2 linked regions of the Drosophila melanogaster genome follow. The gene in region 1 interacts genetically with each later gene. Each region holds a gene or a part of one and is shown on either strand. Other genes may lie near its edges.

Region 1 (4,996 bases):
CAGGTTAGGCACACATTAAACACATGATTTCACTTTTAATTGAAAATCAAAACCCCGCGGCATGACGTCAGCATCGACTGACTGTTGTTTACATTTCGAGTTGGGAGTTTTAATCAGATGCCTGGGGTAGCCAGGATCCGTGGGTTTCATCCTTACCAGCGCCACTCCTGCGTCTTCTTGATCATGATGGTGAAGATGCCCTCGAGCAGCAGCAACAGCAGTGGTCCACATAGTGCCCAGTATATGATATCACTCTTTAAAGCCACCACCTGCCAAATGGCCAGCAGGCTGTGCGCACTGAAGATGATCCTCGTGAGGATGGCCTTGATCGTCGAGATTATCTTGGCCATGGCTGCAATGACATAATCCTCTCGTGCTCGCTTCCTGCAGCTCGGATAATCAGGACCGAGGAATACCACCAAATCGACCCGAACCGACGAAGCGAACCGCACACGGCGAAAAGGTAAACGCAACTGACAGCAGAAATCGCGGGGTCCCAAATGCTTTCATTAGATGTTTAAACGCTTTTTAAGAAATTAAGGACACAGCCGCGAATGGCGCGTAATTGGTGAATGGCCACGGACCCCCGTCCCGATGTCCTGTGTGTGCGTTCAGGACGAATCATCTTCGGCTTGTCCAGGGACGAACTGCAGACCGAAAAGTAAAGATTCTTCATAGTAAGGAGAGAGTAAAAAATATGGATCTTAAATAAATTCTAGCTAATAATAACTTTCTTAATATATTTTAAAACCTTTTTTTTCCATTTTAATATATGGGAAATTAAGTTTCATTTACTTTCTATACTCTGATGTGACCAAGACGCTCCTGGAAATGTCTTCCCAACCGAAATCGAACCCATGCGTGTTTCACTTATGTGTGCCTCCAAGTCACACCACGACCATTAAATGCTTCAGCTGACTTTTAAGACGGCAAACGGTGGACGATAAACGCGGAGTCCGCGTTCCACCCACCGGATTTTGGGTCTGGCCACAAATGCAGTGCAAACAAATCGTCGGAGTGAACGACGCCGAGCCTTGGCCATCAAACTGCTGGGTAATGTGGCTGCATGGAAAGTTATAGTCATCGTAAACCTACCCCGTCGAGATATATCCGATGTTTGCCCATTGGTTGGGGGGCGGAGTTGGGTCAATGTTTTTGCCGCACGTGAAGTCATTGAACAGGCATAAATAAAGGATGATGTGCGTTGTGTGACTGGGCACAGCCATGCTAGAAGGGGCAACCTGTTGATGGGAACAAAGAAAATTTCAAATAAGGTAAGTAATTTGGCATATATTACGCATACGACATGTGCAACAACCATTGGGGAATCCTTCGCTTTTCACACGTTCTAGTACTGACCTTTCTATTATCCTTATGGTTTTAAATACTCAGATGTTTTTTTTTTTTGGAAAATTGCTTTTATTGCATGTATGGATATGACTTGATGTGGATTTTGGAACCTAGCCCTGATTGCGGCGTCGCAGCAGCCTATTGAGGCTGCGCACACTGACCCGCCTTCCGGAGCGATTCCTGGTCCTGTTCCTGGAAGTGGAACTGGCACTGGTGTCACGGTAGACGCGCACCCTGCGCTTAATCGAGTACTTGAGGTTCTTGATCCTGAACCGCTTGCGATGGACCTTCGAGGAGGAGGAGGAGGAGGAGGAGGACGCGGTGGTGGTGGTCGTGGTGGCTGCTGTCGTCGTGGTGGTGGTGTCACTGTCCGTCGTGGTCGTCGTAGTCTCCGTGGTGGTTGGCGATGAGGCGTTGGTTGCCCAAATGCATAGGCTTATCGCTAGGATTCGGAGTGCCAGTTGTCCTGTCTTCATGGTGTGCTCGGTGATGCCGTTGCTCGGATGAACTACCACTTCGGAGGCTGGGAGTTTTATATGTGACCAAGACAATTGGCGGAATTTCTCAGCAAATATTTGCATTTTGCTCTCGCCAATTACGTCCGCGCGAAATTTTTTGGCCATATTTACACAGTTTGGTGATCAAACAAAGGAACAAGCTGGAATTTCGCAAAACGGCCCAACTGCCGAGCTAGCTATTAAGTTTTATATATATTTAAGATTGGTATTTTTACGAGCTTCGTTCTAAAATTAATCACACAATTACACAGAGAGAAAACGAATTGAGCAAAATATTATTCACAAATAAGGTTCGTTTTAATGGAAGGTCAGCAATTTTGTCTGCAATCGTATATTATTTAAATCCAATAAATAAGTTGGTTTAAAGAAGTGCCTAAATTGGGTATCCTCCTTTTTTTTGAGTGCCACATGGAGTCGCCAGTGAGCTGCCTTCCCGTACAAATATCGCTGGACTTGAATGGGATTTGGTGCCTGCATGTTGGCACATAAAACACTGCATAACCAAATATTTGCGTGGCTCCAACTCGACTCCGTATTTGCCTGGGCTAAAGGACCGCCGCTGCCTGCGGATGACATGTATTGGTCCTGCGGATGACACCGATACTGACGCTCTTGGGTTGCGTGGTCGGGCGGTCTCCCGCAGTGGGTTATCCAGTCCAGGTTGCTATATAAGTCGAGGATGCGCCAACCGACGTTCATTCGCAAGTCTCCTGCTGCAGGTGTTCCGTGCTCAGTTCCTGCTCCTGGCCATCCTTCCAGCTCCTCGGACTAATGGCTCGCTACACGTACCTTGTCGCCCTTGTGCTTCTGGCCATTTGCTGCCAGTGGGGATACTGCGGCGCCATGGCCATGCCGGATGAGGAGCGCTATGTGCGCAAGGAGTACAATCGGGATCTCCTCGACTGGTTCAACAACGTGGGCGTGGGACAGTTCAGTCCCGGCCAAGTGGCCACTCTCTGTCGCTATCCGCTGATCCTCGAGAACTCCTTGGGCCCATCCGTGCCCATCAGGAAGCGCAACTCGGAGCTAATCAACTCCTTGTTGAGTCTGCCCAAGAACATGAACGATGCGGGCAAGTAAGAACGGAAAATGCTGAAGGATTAGGACGACCCACCACTGAAAGATGGAACCTGGACAAGAATTTATTATTTGATGTTATAGTATGATTTTTTGGTGCGTCGAAGGAAAATGAAAATCCGCAGATAAAAGCCGGTGTAGTCATCTAATAGAGAGAAAAGACCGTATAACTTTTGTTGCTTTAAACCTAAATAGAAAAATATACAAGTAGCCTATTGTAGAAATGTTGTATATTATTAGGCTTACTGCTGAAATAAACGTTTTCTGGATTGTTTCGACTTGAAATCTGGTACAACAACTAGTCAGGATTTTTATTCTTAATCACAGATACTAAAGCTAGTTAAAGATATTGGTTATCCCCGTAAAGGGCGAACCAATGAAAGCCAAAGGTGTTCTCAAAGTAGATTTTGTTCAATGCTACGATTGGAATAAATAGATGTTTCTAGCTTAGAATAGCAGCCCCATTTCGTTTATTGACTTCATTTATTATGCTATATCTAAGCAGTCAAAACCTAAGGAACTTGGCCATGAACTTGGCAAACAAATGCGTAGAAAGTAAACTAAATGAGAACTAAAGTATGTTCATAAAAAACACACTTATAAACAGAAAGACAAAAAGATCTGTATGTAGAAGTATAAATTGTTGTGCCCATTATTAGAAATGTGTTTTCTTTAGGTATTTTTTATTCGCCATTGTTTGGTAAGCTAAAGATCTTATTAACCAGATTTCTTGTTAACATGGATCCTGCGCACTGTCTTATAGTGGAGATTACGGATCGTAAAATGTTTCCTATGAACGGTTGTGGCCTTGGCAGTGGTGGTTGTGGTTGCCTCCGTGGTTGTGGTGTTGGTGGATGTGGTGGAATTGGTCTGGGCTGAGGAAGGCTGCAGCAGGCAGAATCCGGCGAATAGGACGAGCGCCAATAGATAAGTGCTTAGCTTCATTGTGCGGCTTTGCAAGAATCGTGAATGTATAAGACGAGGCTTTAGAGGCCTTTATATATACGAAAGTTTTCTACGCCAGACAATAACAAATATCCGCAGATGATAAGTAAATAGCGAAATACAATTGAAAATCAGCAAAAACAAATTTTGCACGCCACATTTTGCTTAACTTGTTTGCTTCCAATTCGATGTTTACCCGCCGCAGGAAAACAGTTGTAGGCGCGTTTAAATGACGGCAATATATATATTTTTCTTATAAGATATATAACTATGTTAATCAATGTTGCTGATTTATATTAAATATCGAACGATTCTCGATTCGATTTATGTGTAAGTTCATTTGGCGCTGTTTGAAATCGGTAAGTATTGTATAGAAAAAGTTATGCGTATGCATTATGTCTGATTAAGCTTGAACTATGTGTGTGTGTATTTATGCAAATGTTAATGCCATATTGAAATTACAACATTAGACAATCGAATTGTTGGCAACTACTACAAACATGATGTATACAATTCTATTCATTTTCAAATTACAAAACAATCAATTCTCGCTGGCCTTTCGGTCCGATTAATAAAACAATTGTAACATATGCGAATGTGTGTATATGTTGATGCTTCTTGCTTCGGCTCAAAATGCAGTTTCGGTAGCTTTTCACTTACATGACTATGCCTGCTATTGCATAAATACTAACTAACTGGCCGTACACTGCCTTGGCTAATCATTAACGGCTAATCTAGCATACAGTATGTGGCTGCAGCGGAGGCACATCTACCAGCACACCCGTGACTAAGTCGCATGCCCCGAAAACGCTCTGGCCACTGCTTTTGCCAAGCTGAAAGGATGCGAAAGTAAATGTTAGTTAGTTCAGTTTGCAATTGAGTGCGGAATATCTGAGATACTCACACATATGGTTATAGGTTATAAAGCTTTAGCTGCTTCCACAGCTTTTTATTGATTTATATTTTTGGAAACGCACTCTGATGGCGCTGACTTTTGCTTGATAATTGCTGAAACGGACTCTTCTCCTTCACATGCCTGTTGATGCGACTGTAGCTGCTCGATCTCACATGAAAAACTCGTTGGCTGAATGGGAAAGCGGAAGTCA
Region 2 (5,769 bases), on another chromosome or scaffold:
GCAACGGTCTTTGCTCAGCGGGAAGTTGCAACGTGTACACACAACAAAGTCAATTTCAATTTTCATAATAACTGATTTATATGCATATATATTTTATATATATTTTTTTCGTAAAACTCCTCATTTCCGAACCATCTATCCAGTGGGAGTACAGCAAAATGCAATTTCTTTGATGTCTCGCCTTTGACGAATTATGTATTATGAGTAGGTTGACCAAAAGTAGCAATTCGCTTGCATAATTTCTCTTAATTAACATGACTCGCCGGAACTTTGACAGTAGAATGTTCATATGTCCAGCTGTCTTGTCCAATTCCATCGTGCGAGATCCATTGAGCGGCTTTTTTACATGGGCAAGGTCGCTGCTCCAGAGATTAGAATCACGTTCATGGTAACCGCCGAATAAGTATGGCAAAAACCAAATACCAAGCCGGACACGTCGTCGGAAGCAACAAAAACATTGTAAAGCTTTTATCAGCCCAAATTATCATTAGCCGCGTTCTCTGTGCCTGCCATAAAATCCATATATATGTATTTGTCCAGATAAACATGCATACTTCCATGTGGATATGGGCGGTTAGGATTCCCTACATACGCATTTGGCATTTCCCCATTTCCGCTAGCCAACCTTTTGGTACACATGAATTAGCTTCTGAAAAAATGTGGGTCACTGAAAGGATTTACATGGATTAAGGTATATTAAGCTGAGTTAGAAAACAAAAAGAACTTGCAATTCGTTAGCACTAATTGTCAAAATAATTCAATGAAAATGCTCTATAAAATGATACTTTCCTTAACATTAATGGATTCCAATTCACATTGGTCTGTGGTAATTTGAAAAATATTTTATGATTGCAAATTTGAATATTGAATATAATATTTTAGACAACTGGTCTATACTAAGTTTTAAAATATCATATAATCACAAGTCAATGAAGTGGCCATTATTGAATATGGAACATATTTTTGTAGGCAACATAACCTTTATTTACTATTTAGGATTGCCATAATCAAATATCAACAGCAACCATTCAATTTACATCAGTCAGTCCGGATATAGCCAATGATATAACTTCCTTATCAATATGGTGTCTCTTATCTCATTACGATATATGGCTTTTAGGGACGACTAATTGTGAGCATGCGAAAATAACCGAATAATTGTGATGGTAATCTCTCAACTGATTAGTCAGAGTTGCTTCGCAGAACGATGAGATAGCTGATGTACTGCCAATTATGAGATAATGCACGTAAAGTTATTAATAATCTGGAATATTGGGGGGGATTTATATTGGATTTGATGGCTGACAGCTGCCGCATCCGCGGGCACTAATTGAAAACTATCAGATGCTGATTAATCCAATGCTGATAGTCATGATCGATGGACAATGGCTCGATAAACGCTTCGATAATTGTGCGTAATAGATGATTAATAAACTGATGCAGAACGTAGCCAACTGTGTGTTGCCGTGTTGCTGTTGCCCTTTTGCCACGTGTTGCGTATACGACCAGTTGGCCAGCACCCAACGACCATCCCATGACTGCGCACAATCCCCATTGAAATCGGCCCAAAAGCAGCAAGTATCACGTCGTGGGCGGACCCGAGGACGTGGACCGAACTTCGGAGTTTCCACTCGGGTGCCACCTGAACGCGTTGAAATCTTTCGTATCCTGGACTCGTATAAATCGCGGTCTCCTTGGCTGCCGATTTCACTTGCGTTTCAGTCTCAAAGCGGTGCAGTCAGCAGCAGTAACGGTTAATATTGTAAAGAACCGATTCCAAAAAGTTTTTCAAAATCCCATCGAGCATCGTCTCTCAACGTTTTTGAACTTTGTTCTTGTGTTTTGCAGTGGAATCGATCTAAACCAATCGAACTTTGATCGCAAATAAAGCGAAAGTGTTGTGTGCATTTGTGAAAAAGGGTGAGTGATAAAGATATTTAATTTTCAGTTAAAATTAAAAAATAAATTGAAAATTTCGTATGCTTATTATTAATTTGAGTAAAGAAAAACTCTTATGTCCAAAAAATCTTATTAGTTCATATTATTAACTAATATTTATTAGTAATTTTCATAATCCTCTAAGTAAATAAAACCTTGCGTTTTTGATTTTAATTAGTTCTAAAAAACCTAAAACATTTTGAACTTCAGAAAACTATTTACATAAAATTCGCAATCAATAAGATTTTAATCCTTTTTTTTTGCCGACGGTTAATTTGCAACTTTTACTAAATTTCAAACTATTTTTCTTTTGCTTTTAAGGAAAAGTTCTTTAAGGTTTTTGGTATGCAAATTATAAAATCAAACATTTTCAAAAACACACGGTTTTTCCCGTGTTTTAGTTTGAAAATTAAATTTGCATTGAATTTGAAGATAGTTTTCTTGCTGTAGAATTATTGTCAATCAATTAGACAACAATTTCGTAAATATTTTAATTTTAAGAAAGTGAACTTTTTATTAAATTTCTAGTGTTTAAATTCTTGTTAATACTTGCTCTTAATTATGCTTTCTTTGCTCAAAACTGCCAACGTTTATTATTCAGAAAATGAGCTGGCCTTTTTATAAATTGCTTCTTAGCTGGCCTAAGCCATTAAGTCAACATGTAACCCAGGACCGATGCTGAGGTCCTTCGATGATGTGTGTTGAGCCCAGGACATTTGTTGCATCCCCTTTGTCCTTCCTAAATGGGCTGGGCACTCTTTGGGCTTTGGCCCAGGCGACCTTTTGGCCCCAGTACTCGTATCTGGGTAAATCTTTATTTTCTTGCTGCAAAATTGAAGCTGGCTCCTTGGCTTTATTACCTCTTGGCCCGGCTCGGGCCAACTAAGTCCTTTGGATTATCGCAATCATTTTGAGCTTTACTTTTGCTCCCACATTAGAGCGCCTTTATAGTTTTATGATCTTACGAGCAGCGCACTTGGCTGTTACTAACTTAAATTGCCAAAAGTTTAGTGAGAACTTGTGGAAGTTCTGATCTTAAAGTTGGGCTTATGAAATTAATTTCCCTGCATTAGGAGGAACAACAGTTGGGCGATTCGAGTTCGCAGAAACTCCTCAATTGTTCAGTGATTCGAATGACTTGATGGCCCAAAAAAAAAAAAAACTTAAAGAAAATTCAATTGAAGTTGCCGACAAGCGCGACTTCAAGTTGAACGTTTAATAAATCAGCAATTTAATTTCGCTTACGTGGGCATCAAATTGAAGACCATTTAACCATGTAGATTAAAAAAAGCATAATTGAAAAGTGATGAAATTAAAAATGTATTAAATGCGGTGCATCGCAAAAGCCGCTTAGCTGCGGCAGTAGAAAACGTGAGTTGCTTTTGCACAGTGTCCACGCCAATTGCTTCTAATCCTTTCCATTTTTTACATCCGATTTTCAAATTGAATATTCAGTATCATGGAAGAAATTGTAAACAAGACGGATTATGTTTTAACTGGCTTTGAATGTGGGTATAGCAGCTTAATTCGGATACTATTTTAAGCTTTGATTTTAATTGGTTTTAGTTCACATGATTCCGAATCCAAAAAAATCCCAAATCTTATTTAAGTAAAATATTTATTTTTATGCACTATTTTATAGCACTTTTCAATTGACAAAGTATAAAAGTTTAACTAAACTCACATCCATCAATTTCCGCAATAAAAGTACTTTTATTCACTGTTTTTCACACCTCCGTCGACCTTTTGATCATTTTGTGTTGCCTACTTTCTTGCGCAAAATGCCACTTCTGGAAAATTCAATTCTCTCGCTCAGGTGCTTTGGATGAAATGGAGGTCGTGAAAAAAACTACTCATTTTCATGTCCTGCCCTCCGGTTGTTTATGAAATGCTCTCTACTGTGTCGATTTGTGGACAATTCGTAATTCGTGTTTTCTTTAAATTTACAAAAGGCAGCAAACAGGAGATGCAGACGGTAAGAGGGCTGATGATTTGGGTCTTGGGATTTCCTTTTTCATCGACGCTCATTTTCTTTTATCCCTGGGTCTGTGAAAACACTCAGATGCGGAAACTTTCGTGCTTAATTAATTCGTTTTGGAATAAAGGAGTTTACCTCAACTGGGCAACAATTAAAAAATGCTTAAGGGGCTTTAAAAATTCACTTGAGCATCACCAAAAAAATGGCTTAAGCCCCAAAAATACGAAATACATAGACGCATAGAAGCTTAGGAAACTTTTTGGGCCAAAAGTGGAGGGCGAGTCTCCTTGAACTGCTCTCGCTCTAATGAAATTTGCATATTTTTATTAATTAAATTGTTTAGCCAGTGTGTTTACTGGCAGCATCCGAACTTTGGCCCCGCCGTCTCACATGTGCATACTAATCACCGCAGGGCAGGGGAATCCCCTTCGAAAATTAACATGCCCCAAGGCAATGAGAATGCCAAAAAACAAACTGGGGACAATTGCAGATGAAAATCGGATGCTTTTCATTAGCAGGAGTCCGTGTTTTTGCTCCGTGCTAAATTCAAAGATTCGTGGCAACTTTTCAGGCTTATCTGCCCATTTATTGCATTTTTATTAAGCGGAGTACTTGGCTCATAATATTTCCGCTTTATATTTCTCCCCAAAACGAACCCTGCATGAATTTAATTGAGCACGATTTTCAGTCCGAAAATGTTTACGCCTCTAATTGGGCGAGTTTATGAATTCATAAACTCTCAAATTGCCGGGGTGTTAAAAGTCAAGTGAAGTGGGCTTTATGTAGTGCGTAGCAATTTGTTAAAAGTTGGTTGCAAAATGAGCAGCAATGCCTTTTCGGTAATTAATTATTATGCTATATATCAAGTTTTTAGATTCTTTTACTGAGCATGAAATGTATTACATTCAACTAAAATTGTATGGTAAAATAATAGGGAAACAGTAACTTTGCTATTACAAAGTGTAAAATTTAATTCAATTAGTTACAGAAATTTTAATGCTGTTGCTTTAATACGCGACCTACAGTACCTTGAGCCCTGTTTATCTAGCAGATATATTTCGGTGCTCGCCTTTCGCTTGAGCTACTTTATCTGCAATTCTGCAACCAATATTGGCGCTTAACTGCAGGTAATTTCTTACCCCATTTGATTCATTTTGAGCTGCTTACGCCGTCATGGAATGTAAATTCGGTCTCTTAACATATAAATTTTCACTTTCCTTCGACACAAGCCCCAACCCCACCAATGGAGCTCCACGAGCAGCGCTTTGATGGTATTTCACCGCACAGCTGCCAAATATTTATTCGCATTTAAAAAGTATTTTATGTTGCATTTTCCCATAAGCATTCTCCTGGGCACTTTGGCTGCTGCTGCCACGTGAGTCCAAATACCAGTGCTCGGTGATAAGACATGCATTCGACCTCGCCGAAGGTCCTCGTTGCCTCCATCCATCTGCTGCTGTTCCCGTGTCCTCAAAAATGCTTTGGCGTTGGGTTTTATGCGAGCTGCTCCTTGGGAGTGTTTGTTTTAATCCACCCCCGACCAAGTCGCCCAGATCTTGCCTGAATTGTTTGTATGACAAAGTTAGCATTTTGTAATAAATTCGCTTCAAAAAATATTTGAATGTTTATGGTCGGTATTCAAATTAAATACTATGCTGCGCGAAACAAGTAAAGCCGAACATTAAACGAGGTACCAATAAAATGTATTTTTTGAAAATTTGCCTTTGAAATTTTTGCGCCCGTTGAAATTTTCATTACTATAATGGAAAAGAATAATTTTTTAACAAAAAAAAAAAAGGAAAAGTAAATGAAACGTATTACCTTAAGGAAAACAAGGACCAGGAAACGTTCCA

Evidence for each region.
Region 2: of Pdf (region 1) and Dh31, changing one suppresses a phenotype caused by changing the other (phenotypic suppression), as found in Drosophila melanogaster (one study listed by BioGRID).

What each region holds. Positions count from the first base shown.
Region 1 is NT_033777.3:26,453,707-26,458,702, reverse strand, and holds Pdf (Pigment-dispersing factor), read left to right. Parts: upstream 1-2,561; 5' UTR 2,562-2,639; coding exon 2,640-2,948; 3' UTR 2,949-3,241; downstream 3,242-4,996. Other genes in the region: CG14238 (uncharacterized protein), read right to left, coding at 157-350; CG14237 (uncharacterized protein), read right to left, coding at 1,461-1,826; CG43117 (uncharacterized protein), read right to left, coding at 3,663-3,890; CG5447 (uncharacterized protein), read right to left, coding at 4,994-4,996. UniProt on the Drosophila melanogaster protein: Neuropeptide PDF is the main transmitter regulating circadian locomotor rhythms. Required to maintain behavioral rhythms under constant conditions by coordinating pacemaker interactions in the circadian system.
Region 2 is NT_033779.5:8,502,786-8,508,554, reverse strand, and holds the start of Dh31 (diuretic hormone 31), read left to right. Parts: upstream 1-1,709; 5' UTR 1,710-1,762; intron 1,763-1,848; 5' UTR 1,849-1,920; intron 1,921-5,769. UniProt on the Drosophila melanogaster protein: Regulation of fluid secretion. Stimulates Malpighian tubules fluid secretion by activating the apical membrane V-ATPase via cyclic AMP of principal cells in the main secretory segment.